Linked DNA regions of Oryctolagus cuniculus. The protein of the gene in region 1 purifies or fractionates together with the protein of each later gene. This does not show direct contact. Links are inferred from orthologs where the notes say so. Each region holds a gene or a part of one and is shown in the gene's direction. Other genes may lie near its edges.

Region 1 (3,599 bases):
ATTCCAAGAAAGTATTTGGATGACTGCTAGCTTTTCCATAGATTAGCATTGCTTTTTGAGTTCCAGTTTTGATAGAAATATAGGTCTTAAAACTAGATTGGGCCTCAAGAAATCCCAAAGACCAACCTCTCGAGCTTTCAAGCAAACAAGATTATTTATTCCCATGGTAGTGATGAGCTTATTAAAGCCCCAAAAGATTGGAACTTAGTTAAGATGAAAGAATGAGTAACCAGATCTCCTGATCCTTAATTTAGTTGTTTCTACTATACCACCCAGCCCTCAATTCTGTTTCCACTTTTGTGGAACATGAACTTTGCCAAGGGGGAAGGCCTAAAAATGTTCAGGCAGATAAGTATGGGAGGTTTTGCAGGAGTGGGGAAACTTTTTTCTGCCAAGGGCCTTTGGTTATTTATAGCATCATTTGTAGGCCAGACAAAATGATTGACTTACAAAATTAGTCTGCTATAGATTTATTGAATTTGAGTCCCACCTGCAGTTGCCTTGGCAGGGCCAAACCAATTGATTTCAGGGGCCTTATATTGCCCACAGGCCCGACGTTCCCTAAGCCTTCCCTTTCAGGACCCAAGGTGGAGACAAGCTGGGATTGCTCCTTGCTGTGTCCTCCTCCTCAAAGCACATATAACCATATCTGGCTGATGCTTATCAACCTGGCAGCCTATGGTATTCCATTCTCAGGGACTGTAAAATGTCCATACCCACAAGTGCCCACGAGTTGCCAAGATGGTGGTAAGGCAGTTCAGGTGAGGCTGCCCTCGTGGCTACAACGTTTGCCCTCCTCCAGGTCTCAGAGCTCCTAGAAGTCTGATTGTTGTGTCCCCATTTGCTCTCCAGGCAGCAGATGCTAAGCTTTCCTCACCTCCTGCAAACAGTGCTGCATATCATCCAGGTGGTCATCAGCTACTTCCTCATGCTCATCTTCATGACCTACAACGGGTACCTCTGTATTGCCGTAGCAGCCGGGGCCGGGACAGGATACTTTCTCTTCAGCTGGAAGAAAGCAGTGGTAGTGGACATCACAGAGCATTGTCATTAACGTCAGACTCCATGGTGTGGCCTTAATGATTGCAGTGGGAAGCAGTTTGAGACTGGAAGACATGATTCCTGCTCCAATCATCTCTTCTTGCTCCTCTTACACACACACACACACACACACACACACACACATAGCTCAACAGAGGTTTAGTTTACAGTCCCTGGGGTAAAGTGGTAACCTCCTAAACTGTTTTTTTTTCCTACTAAGTTGAGATTCCCATTTTTCTTAAAGAGAAGCCACCCGAGATGTCTTTTTCCTTGTCATCTTAGATCCCATTTATATGTTCTCGTCTAATCTGGGTAGCTTTCTATTCAATGACTTGGTCATCTGCTTCCTTGTTTTATCTTCTTGGTTTCTTTTAGCAGACAGCATATGAATTTGTTTTTTGTTTTGTTTTGTTTTGTTGTTTTGTTTTTCCCTGAGTCAGTGATGGAAAGGGTTTGACTTTGAGCAGGATTAATGGCAGGTGAGGGAAATTCTTGTCCAACTACACCCGGAACTCAAACTTAACATCAGAAAATGAGTTCTAGTCTTTGGACTCAATAAGTGGGAAATACCCTGTGCCTTTCTCCAGCTGTGATGTTTTGCACCAAAACCTTTGTAGTGTGCAGAGGGGTGGTTGAGGCTAATTCCAGGCTCAGGGCTTGCAGAGTGTGTATTCTTGAGTTGCTAACTCATCAATTTTATGTTCCCACTTACCATTTTGATCAGGATGAATTTGCTAATCAAAAAAAAAAAAGACAATCAATTTGAGAGAAAAGAAATAGATATTTTAAAATAAAACTGTAAAGCCATTGGCATTTTACTTTGACTTAGTACCTTGGTTTGTCTCAGCTGAATGAAGCAAGAGTTTGAAATTTTTCCCATTACTGTTTTCATGTGTTTGTCTCCAAACCAGTGATTTTTTTTTTTTTTTTTTACAGGCAGAGTGGACAGTGAGAGAAAGAGACAGAGAGAAAGGTCTTCCTTTGCCGTTGGTTCACCCTCCAATGGCTGCCGCGGCCAGCACGCTGTGGCCGGCGCACCGCGCTGATCTAATGGCAGGAGCCAGGTACCTATCCTGGTCTCCCATGGGGTGCAGGGCCCAAGTACTTGGGCCATCCTCCACTGCACTCCCTGGCCACAGCAGAGGGCTGGCCTGGAAGAGGGGCAACCGGGACAGAATCCGGCGCCCTGACCGGGACTAGAACCCGGTGTGCCTGCGCCGCAAGGCGGAGGATTAGCCTAGTGAGCTGTAGTGCCGGCATGCAAACCAGCGATTTTCAAAGTTGAGCATGCATCAGAACTAGCAGCTGACACACTAATTGCTGGGCCTTAATCCCAGAGCCCCAAAATTGGTATTTCTGGGTTCTTGATTGTTGTTCCAATTGATGGTCAAGGGGGCCCACACTTTAAGAATCTCTGGTTTAAATTAAGGAAGCATCATCTGGTATTGGGCATGGAAATTTGAATTGCTGATGGGTAGGTTGTACATCTGGGCATAATTCATGTCATAAATGCTGCTGGTCAATACTTAAGCATTCCAAAGACTGTTGTGCAGCTCCATCTGTGTACACCTATACCTGCACCTCTGCGCATCTGCAGGAAGGGCTGCAGCCAAAGTACTCTGATCAGCATGGATGAAATCACCACTCCTCAGTTTTAAAGAGCTGTGGTTTCTTGGAAGGAGTTTGAAGGTTGAGAGAGACCTTTGACCTGCAGTGTAAATCAGCCAGCCTGGGCCAGAAGGGCCAAAGCTCAGCTTTCTCTTTGGAGAAACTCAGGGTGCGGCCCACTGATGACCAGATTTGCATCAGCCCCAGCATCCATGCCCACGCCAGGCAGATCCCCATCCTCTGAAAGACCATCTTTGTCACTGTTAGGGGATTAATTAGATCACAAGTGGCTAGAAACCTCTTTTCTAAGTGAAGAATCCCATTGGATGTTTATTGTTAGTCTCTACTGCAGCCTTGTTTCAGTCCAAACTACCTCGGTACAGTGAATCTTCTGTGCTGGTCTGCTCAACCCTGCCCTCCTCGGAGCCAGACACAGCCGTGCCTCGGGCAGAGCTGTCCTGTTGGCTTGTGTTGTGGTTTTGAAGTTTGTACTTTCTCTGTGGATGCCAGTTAAATATTGGAGAGTGAGGAGTGTGTACTTCTATGGCTTTGAACCAAGAGAGGGTGACGAGCCTACTAGATCGAGGTTAAAATCCAAGAACCAACATTTTAGAGCTTTGTGGTTTTCTCTCATTTCATCCGCTTGAAGCCCTGGTAACTTAGCATGGGCAGAGTGAATTCCGGTTACTGACAAGAGTCCAGCACTAAAGGTGCAAATAGCCCATGGCTGTCTCGGAAGCCAAGGAATCATAAAACCATGAGAACCAAGTAAGAATCAAGGTTTAGTAGTGACTCTGGTGCTCTCTAGACATCTCAGCATGAGCTGCTATAAAATACCTTCCCAGTACTGGGACCTTATCAGTAAGGTAAGAAAAACCATTATAAATCTGAAACTAACAGAGAAAAACCTCTTCAGGATAGAGATAATCTCCTGGAAAACCTGACTTTTA
Region 2 (4,195 bases), on another chromosome or scaffold:
ATCTGTCCTGGGAAGGACCTCCACTCCTTAAGCTCCTTTGAAGAAAATACTACATCCTACTTACCTTGACATCTGCAGTACTTGGCATGTGGCAGGATCTCAATGAACATTTTCTGAATGAATGAAACAGTAGGAAAGATTCTAAATTCTGAATTAGGCTATCTGGACCTGTGCTGTTCATAATTTGTGATTTTCATATTTCTTTGGGTTTCGGTTTCTTTAATCTATGAAATGAGGAAGTGGCACTAGATTTTCCACAAGGGTCTCTCCAGCTTCAGGGGCTGTCACTGCTGCCTACTATTTGAGTTCAAACACATACTTTGTCTGATCAGAGAATGTTTCATAACAATTTGAGAACATCAAAAAAGAAAACTTCACATATCACACACACACATACACACACAAATAGAATTTCCACTATATCCCGAAAAGCAGACAATTTGACTTTATTGGCCAATATTCCCAAACATTCACAATGGTCATATCTGAATCACACTGCCTTTAGGTGAGGGTGTGCCCTCTACTTGGCCAGCAAGCCCATCTCTTTGTATTATTTCCATCTCACAGAGGTAAAGACTAGTCCTGATGTATTCAGGGATATACATGTGCATGTATAACACCAAACAGCCTAGAATTTTCTAAGTAGTACTAATTCAAAACACTTTGTGCTTAGTGTTTTGTTTTGCTTTTCTAAGTAGCCCTAGACTTCTCACTTAATCTTATGATCTTTTTGGAAAACAATGTTGCCTTGATAGGAGCAAAGGCCAAGCCATTGTATCTTCTAATTAGTTTAGTAAAGTATTTCTCTCACTTGAAGCAACTGATGCTTTTCAGGTAATACTTCCTATTGAATATTTATTATTGGAACATTCTCTTCCAATTTTAAAGTCCACGAAGATTGCTTCTTGCCTTTCAAGGATGTTTGGACTGACTTGCGTGATCAAGAAAAGCTAGTCCACTGAGTGAGTACCCGGGGTGTTCCCCTGTCCCTTCATTGTTCCTGCTAGGATGGCGTATCTGCGTTTGCATTTTCGAATGGAGCTGTGCATTCGGTCTACGGCGGAGTTAAAGGTTAGGAAAGGAGACAGGGAAGAGCCTAAGGCGGGGGCGGGGTGAAGGCACGAGTCCAGGGGGTTGGCTTCATGGGATGAAGAAGACGAATACCCTCCATTTCCTCCTCTTTTCTTCTGTATGCAGGCTAAGGCTTCCACCATTTGTGTGCCCGCCTTCAAAGAACTGCCCCCTGCAATTTTGCTGGCGCTTCCATTCCTTCGCTGTGAACCAGAGGGGGCGGGAGAGGTTCTCTGTCACTCAGTCCCTAAAGCCAATGGGTGAGGAGCTAGCCCCTCTAGCCTCGCCTTCTTCTCCGGGTTACACTGGGAGCATGCGCAGTGGGTGTTCCTGTGCCGCCGCCCATCAGCTGAGAGTTGCAGCTGGGGGCTGTGGGGCCCCGGGGTGACAGCGGCCGCTGGAGGAGGAGGAAGCCGAAGTGGTCAGGGTAAGAGAGGCGTGGGGCAGGGGGCTCTGGCTGGGCGGCCGGAGTCGCGGTGTCCCTGCAGCGTTGCCACCTGCTCTGTGCGCTTGGTCCGCCGGCCGCCGCCCTGAGCTCTGCGGCAGACTCGCGGGAGGCGAAGGGCGGGTGCTGCCCGTGCTCCCGGAGCGCCGGCCGTCCCCAAGCCCCCCGGGCCCGTCGCTGGACCCGCACTCGCGGCCGAGGTGAGGCGGTTCGGCCGGCCTCGCCAGCTCCGCCAGTCCGGCGCTTGCCGGGTGGCAGCCGCCTGGAGCCGCCCAGGGCTGCGCTCCCGAGGCTGGAGAGAACAGACAAGAGACCTCTTCCTCCTTTTAACTTACGGGTCGACAAACACATGCTTGAAACTTCCCGAAAACAGGGGCACGAGAGTCAAATGCTTGTGGTAGACAAACCCTAGACGTGTGTTCAGCGGCCCTTTGTGTTTGGCTTTGGTGACTTTGACATGCCAACTTTCTTTTTATTACATTTTTAAGGCCTTGGAAATCACAATATTTTAAGAATTCCGAGCACCTCCATACCCCTCTCTTTCTTTAAATTTAGACAGAATGGGTTAATAGGAACATTGCTTTTATGATCAAATGCTGTGTTTTCTCTCTCATATTTCTGACATTTGCTTGGCTCTTACACTTGTGTATTCGTTTTTTGTACCTCCGATCACTGTATTCGACACAGTTATATATAATTTAAATCTTGCCCGGAATCTGGAAGAAAAGGAAGTAATTATGAAATGCTGTACTGTTTAGTAATGTCGGAGGTGGGTGTTCCTTCTGCTCTGAGCTGCACCTGGGCAGAGACTGGGGGAAAAAATGTTCCACTACATCTGCATCTGGTGTTGTGGATCAGCCTCAGCCTTGTGACAAGTTAGAAATTGGGCTGTAGTTTGAAAGTGTCTAATGAGTATCATTCACTTCTACAAAGTTTATGTCATTTTTCCTTCAGATGTTTTACTTATGCTGCAGATAACAAGTCAATTCTAATTTTAGTTATGTTCCCAAACTTCAGCCAAGTACTGGTAGTTGAAAATTAAATTATATAAAATATCTGCAGTAAGTCTGAGTGAGGCTTTCCTGTGATTCCATGTAATTTGAAAGCTTAATGTGGGAAAAGTGAAAACAAAGCCCTTGGTAATGTGAACTAACACTGAGTAGTGTAATGGCTCATCCTGTGGAGGTAGTGGCTTGAGGAATGCCTCTGTTGAGCAGGTGTAGAGATTACTAAGCCGTAGTGAGCGCTCTCACTTTCATTGAGCATCTACTGTGCACCTGGTACTACACGTACCACAAGATGACAACGTTGGATATCTGTTGTGTTCCAAAGATGAGGATAGACATAAGCATATGCCAATTAAATAATTAGATAGTGATGAGTGTTAGGGAGCACTGAGAGAGAATGACAGAGTGGCAGGAGTGGTGAATTCTCACATCAGGCCTGGCTTTCTCTAGCATGTGATAGATAACTCCTGGGAAAAGTAGCCTGTCCCGTGCAGATCACGGGAAAGAGCATTCCAAGGTTGGGAAATGGCATCAGGCACAAGACAACCATAACCTTGGGGCATCCTTTTGGGATCTGAAAGAGGCTTTGGAATCCAGTGCTTTAGAAATGGAAGTGTGAATGTACATCAGAATGCTTATGTAGAAGTAGAAAGAAAAGATAAGTTTATTTTGGTGCAAAACGTTTTTGAAATTCACGCATAAATTTTTTGTGATAGGTATTTTCCATGAACTTTCTGAAGACCCCTTATATATACCCTCAGGATGGGTCCATGTCTCTCAGAAGTATGGTCATTTTATTCATTTGTTCTACAAATATTAATTGAGCACCTATTATGTACCTGAATTCTGAAAATCAAACAGTCCACACACATACACACACACAAGTTATCACCCCCATGACTCCGGGAACTTATGTATTGGTGCACAACCTGCAAAGAAATTCAGTATTATATGCTGGTGCTGATGATTGAGAAAGTGAAACTGACCACTTCTTTGCCCAGCCTAGATTTAAAGAACACAAGATCTATGCTTACTGGAATCTTAAAGGTTCTGCAGCATGGCCACTGGTAAGTGAGGACAGTGTTTGTCACCCAGGGTTCCATTTTGAAATTCCCTTTGTTCCTTTAGAAGCAGTCTGAGAAGACTCGTTATGAGTGCTGCGCTTTGATCTACCCTGCCCCTTTTTCTCTTTGTAGTGCCCAGACCTCGTATATCTCCACAAAGATAATTACCGAGGTGAGATCAGCATCATCCTCGCAGAACTTGCTGCAAGCATGGAAGTGGACGGTCCAGGAGCTGTCTGGGCTTTGGACACTAGCCACATACAATCTTTGAACCCTTGAGAGGTTGCTGTTATGACTCAGGGCTGAATTTTTCTTTTGACTTAATTGTAGTTTTAATAGCTTATGGAGTTTGTGACTACTCTGTTAGACAGTGCAGGTCCAGATAATGTTATGTAATTGTCAGTCTGAGGAATGAAACTAGGAATTCTAAATGGACTTTGAAAGGGATTCCATAAGAGTGCTTTAGGCAGTAGCAGCTTGAGCTAGGTCCTGAAAACAGATGTGGAAAGCAAACATTTGAAAAACTTGGCAACAATTTAACCTGTATGCAAAGTTCATAACCTTTTAGGTCAGTTTATAGTTAACTGTCTATTTGTGTGTGCCCGTTT
Region 3 (4,340 bases), about 210 Mb from region 1:
TGCTGTGGCCAGGGAGTGCGGTGGAGGATGGCCCAAGTCCTTGGGCCCTGCACCCCATGGGAGACCAGGAGAAGCACCTGGCTCCTGCCATCGGATCAGCGCGGTACGCTGGCCGCGGCGGCCATTGGAGGGTGAACCAACGGCAAAGGAAGACCTTTCTCTCTGTCTCTCACTGTCCACTCTGCCTGTCCAAAAAAAAAAAAAAAATATTTAAAAGGCAGTGACCTAGAGGGAGAGATGGAGATCTTCCATCAGCTGGTTTATTCCCCAAATGGCCACAACAGCCAGGACTGGGCCAGACCAAAGCCAGGAGCCCAGAGTTCCAACGGAGTGTTCCATGTGAGTACTTGGGCCATCCTTTGCTGCTTTCCCAGGTGCATTATTTGGGGAGCTGGACTAAAACAGTAACGGATGTGAACCTGTGCTCTGATACAGGATGCCAGCGTCGCAAGTAGCAGCCATAACACTGGCCCTGAGTTGGCTATTTAAAAATTCTTAAAAAATTTATTAATGCAGAATAGATTTCATGTATTTTATAGAACAATTCTGAGAATATAACTATACTCCCGTCCCTTCCTGAATTGGCTATTTGTAAGTAGGAAAAATGGCAGCTAAGGATGGCTTGTGTTTGTGAGGATGTGGAGCCGAGTTCATGGGATTCCCCAGCTCAGGGAATAGTTCCAGTTGCCTGTAGGTGGCCTGCCTTGGCACACCTCTTCCCCCAGGCACCTGCTGCAGAAATGTGGGCCATGGGAGACTGTGCAGATCCCGGAATCAGGTATGTGGAAGGGGCATAGAAAACCACCCCGTGGGAATGACATCATTTTTGCCCATCTTGTTAGTGGACACAGGGGCCTGTTTGCTTGGGTGTCACCAAATAATCAGCCTCAAGGAGCTGCTCAAAAGAAAGTTTGCTTGTGACAGTGGGGAGGTAGAGTTCCCTACAGGTGTCTCCCAGAGGTGCAGCGTGCCAGGACGCAAAGGGAGAACGGAGCAGCCTTCCTGTGGAAGCAGACATCATACGTGGCATGCACGAGGCGGCTTTCCTTGTGTGTGGCGGTCCTGCCCGCACCAGCAGTGAGGACGAGCGATCCCGGAGCAGCCTCTGAAAACCAAGCTCCAGAAAACGAAGTGGTTCAGGGTCTCTGCCCCTGCGCCCTCTTACCTACAACCTTGGCGATGCCGACTATGTCAGGATTCCGGCGAGGATTCTTGGGACGCTCTTGTACCCGCCGGGCACATGGCAGGCCCCGAATTCCATTCACTGTGTAACAAGCTAGTGGGTGCCCCGGCTGGCGAGCGGATGAATGAACACCAGGGGAGGCTGGGTGCGAGGACCGGCTTTAAACTCCGCGCCCAGCGGGCGGGTCTAGAGGTGGCTCCCACGTGCCTCCACCCCGGCCCTGACACCGGATATGACGTCAGTCCGCGGTTCCCGGAACTAGGCGGAGAGACCGGAAATTGACTCGGGTGGCGGGGGGCACAGCACAGATGACCGGAAGTGCTGAGCCCGGGCGGCGAGGCCAAGCCCCCCGCTCCCGGGCCCAGTGGAGAAGCGCTGGGAGGGCGGGGTCGGTGCAGGGGCGGGGCCTGCGGGCTGGCGGCGGGGGCGGGGACCCCCGTGCTCCTGCGCCCGCGGCGGCGCGGCCATGAAGCTGAAGCTGAAGAACGTGTTTCTCGCCTACTTCCTGGTGTCGATCGCCGGCCTCCTCTACGCGCTGGTGCAGCTCGGTGAGCGGGGCGGGGCGGGGGTGCGTCCACCCATCCCGCTCGGCCCCACGGACGGCCCTCTGCGGCCGCGGGCGCACTGGCCCTCCCTGGGACGCACCGCGGCTCCCCGCCGCACCTCGGCCGAGCCTGCAAGGCCTGCATGATCCTGTCGCCGTTCGCCTCTCGAGCCCCACTTGCTCCCCTCTCCCCTGCTCTGCTCCGGCCGGCCTGCCTTCCTGACAGCTCCTCCCAAAACCCCAGGCTGATTGCTCGCGCAAGCTTCACCAGGTCCCTCTGTCCGTGCTTGTGTCCCGGGTCTTCCCTGGTTGCCTCTTATCCTAGCTCGAATGTCACCTCCCCTGACCACCCTAGCTACAGTCATCTCTTCCCGATTCCCTTTTATTCTCTACCCTATGTATTCCCTTCATGGCCGTAGCGATTTTGTTAATTTGCTGCTTTGCTTACTGTCTGCCTCCCTTACCAACCTGAAAGCGCCGTAAGGGGTGAGACCGCGTCTGTTTTGCCCCAAAGGCAGTGCCTCCCCCGAGGAGCATTCAATAAATATTTATCCAATGATGGCATCGATGAATTTAATGAGTCTTTGGTCACAGACAAGGAGACAGGTTGAACCCTGCCTCTTACGCAGGGGCTTAGTGACAGTGCCACCGCATGAGCCTCAGGTATTTGAAAGGCTGCCCTGTTTAAGGGCATCCAGAAGACAAAATTAGGACCAGCAGGCAGAAAGAACAGAGGTAGATTGTCTGCTCAGTGTCCAGATGAAACTTAGAATTTATGAAAGGTGGAGAGAGGCTGCCAGTTGAAGCGGTGCCTTCCACGGCAGCAGAGGGGCAGTAAGGGGATCTCAGTGAGGGTCTGGTCCCCTGGGATGCTGAATGTTCTGATTCTCTGCTCCCACCCCCTTTCCTGACTGGTGCTTCCTGGGACCAGGCCAGCCATGTGACTGCCTCCCTCCCCTGCGGGCCGCCGCGGAGCAGCTTCGGCAGAAGGATCTGAGGATCTCCCAGCTGCAAGCAGATCTCCGGCGCCCACCCCCTGTCCCCGCCCAGCCCCCCGAACCCGAGGCCCTGCCTACTATCTATGTTGTTACCCCCACCTACGCCAGGTATGGGGTCTGGAGCACCCAGAAGGGCTGCGAGTTCGGGGAGGCACAGGGTTGGGGGATGTTGCTCAAAGTAGAGCATGCCAAACGACAGACTAAGTGACCCACGTCTTCACCCCAAGACTTACGGGAAAATGCTCATTCTTCTAGGACAGAGATATGGCTAGACTTTGAAGCAGAATACAAAGGTCCTGCTAAATTTTAGGAGAGAATAATAACGCTTTAAAGAAATTTTGGGCTTGCCAGTGAGTTAACTCTCTCCATAGAAATCCTGTGGTGAAAAAGTTTTAAAAATTCCTGAATAAGGAAGCGGGCAGTCATACCAGGGTCTAGAAGTGGTTACAACCAGCTGTTGTTTCCATGTCAGGCTGGCGTTAAGTGCTTTACATTTGTTTTGACTACATTTTAAATCAAACTGAAGCCTTATTGCTGACAGAAGCTACAGGGGAATGTGGTATTGTACCTGTCACCTAACAGGCCTGTTAACACACACACCTCTCTGGACCCAGGTGGCAGAGCCATCCAGACACAGACAGCTCTGCACAGCGCTCCCTTCCTAGGTGCACACCACCAACCTGGGGCTGGCAGGCAGAGCTGGAGACATAGATACGCAGAAGCTGCCACGCCTCCCATTTCCCAGTGCCTAAACTCAAATCTTCGCCTGGTGTGGAATAAGCCAAGGGGCTTGACTAAAATAAATTCCTTTCTGGAAACCCAGCTCACAAGGCAAAAGAACCTGGTTTACTTGTGCTTTAGAAAGTCACCGTCTTAATTGATCTTTAAAATGTCATCCTTAAAGGTACTGTTAGTCCCATTTCACACATGAGGAAACTGAGGCCAGGGAGAATGAGCCATTTTCCCAAGGTTGCTGACCTAATCAGTTACACAGCAGGGGTTCAAACCCAGGAGGTGGGTGACAGACATGGTCTGGAGAAACAGGGCAGGTGAGCATCAGCGCGAAGGTGACTGGCAAGAAAGGGGGTTTGGGCGCTGCTGGGGAGAGGCCGCGGGAGATGCCCGGGAGCAGCTGTGAGTCCGGGCTGCAGTGAGCACGCGCTGCCTCTCTCCCCCTGCAGGCTGGTGCAGAAGGCAGAGCTGGTGCGGCTGTCCCAGACCCTGAGCCTCGTGCCCCGGCTGCACTGGCTGCTGGTGGAGGACGCCGAGGGCCCCACCCCACTGGTCTCAGGACTGCTGGCTGCCTCCGGCCTCCTCTTCACACACCTGGCGGTCCTCACCCCCAAGGCCCAGCGGCTTCGGGAGGGCGAGCCAGGCTGGGTTCGGCCCCGTGGTGTAGAGCAGCGGAATAAGGCCCTGGACTGGCTCCGGGGCAAAGGGGGTGCTGTAGGGGGAGAGAAGGACCCACCACCACCAGGGACCCACGGAGTTGTGTACTTTGCTGACGATGACAACACCTACAGCCGCGAGCTCTTTGAGGAGGTGAGTGCTGGCATGGGGATGGGGAAAAAGCCAGCTGGGGACCAGCATCATCCGTTACCATGGTTCCCAGTGC

Evidence for each region. The genes of interacting proteins can lie anywhere in the genome.
Region 2: the proteins of SLC31A1 (region 1) and STX7 purify together in Homo sapiens (affinity purification with mass spectrometry; 3 studies listed by BioGRID and IntAct, counting the BioPlex papers as one, with this or other methods). This does not show direct contact. The link is inferred for Oryctolagus cuniculus from reciprocal best matches to the Homo sapiens genes SLC31A1 and STX7.
Region 3: the proteins of SLC31A1 (region 1) and B3GAT3 purify together in Homo sapiens (co-immunoprecipitation; 3 studies listed by BioGRID and IntAct, with this or other methods). This does not show direct contact. The link is inferred for Oryctolagus cuniculus from reciprocal best matches to the Homo sapiens genes SLC31A1 and B3GAT3.

Annotation. Positions count from the first base shown.
Region 1 is NC_091432.1:216,862,442-216,866,040, forward strand, and holds part of SLC31A1 (high affinity copper uptake protein 1), read left to right. Parts: intron 1-852; coding exon 853-1,054; 3' UTR 1,055-3,599.
Region 2 is NC_091436.1:36,549,343-36,553,537, forward strand, and holds the start of STX7 (syntaxin-7), read left to right. Parts: upstream 1-1,368; 5' UTR 1,369-1,498; intron 1,499-4,195. UniProt on the Homo sapiens protein: May be involved in protein trafficking from the plasma membrane to the early endosome (EE) as well as in homotypic fusion of endocytic organelles. Mediates the endocytic trafficking from early endosomes to late endosomes and lysosomes.
Region 3 is NC_091432.1:8,936,402-8,940,741, forward strand, and holds the start of B3GAT3 (galactosylgalactosylxylosylprotein 3-beta-glucuronosyltransferase 3), read left to right. Parts: upstream 1-1,513; 5' UTR 1,514-1,649; coding exon 1,650-1,731; intron 1,732-2,658; coding exon 2,659-2,833; intron 2,834-3,629; coding exon of another isoform or gene 3,630-3,774; intron 3,775-3,906; coding exon 3,907-4,267; intron 4,268-4,340. UniProt on the Homo sapiens protein: Glycosaminoglycans biosynthesis. Involved in forming the linkage tetrasaccharide present in heparan sulfate and chondroitin sulfate.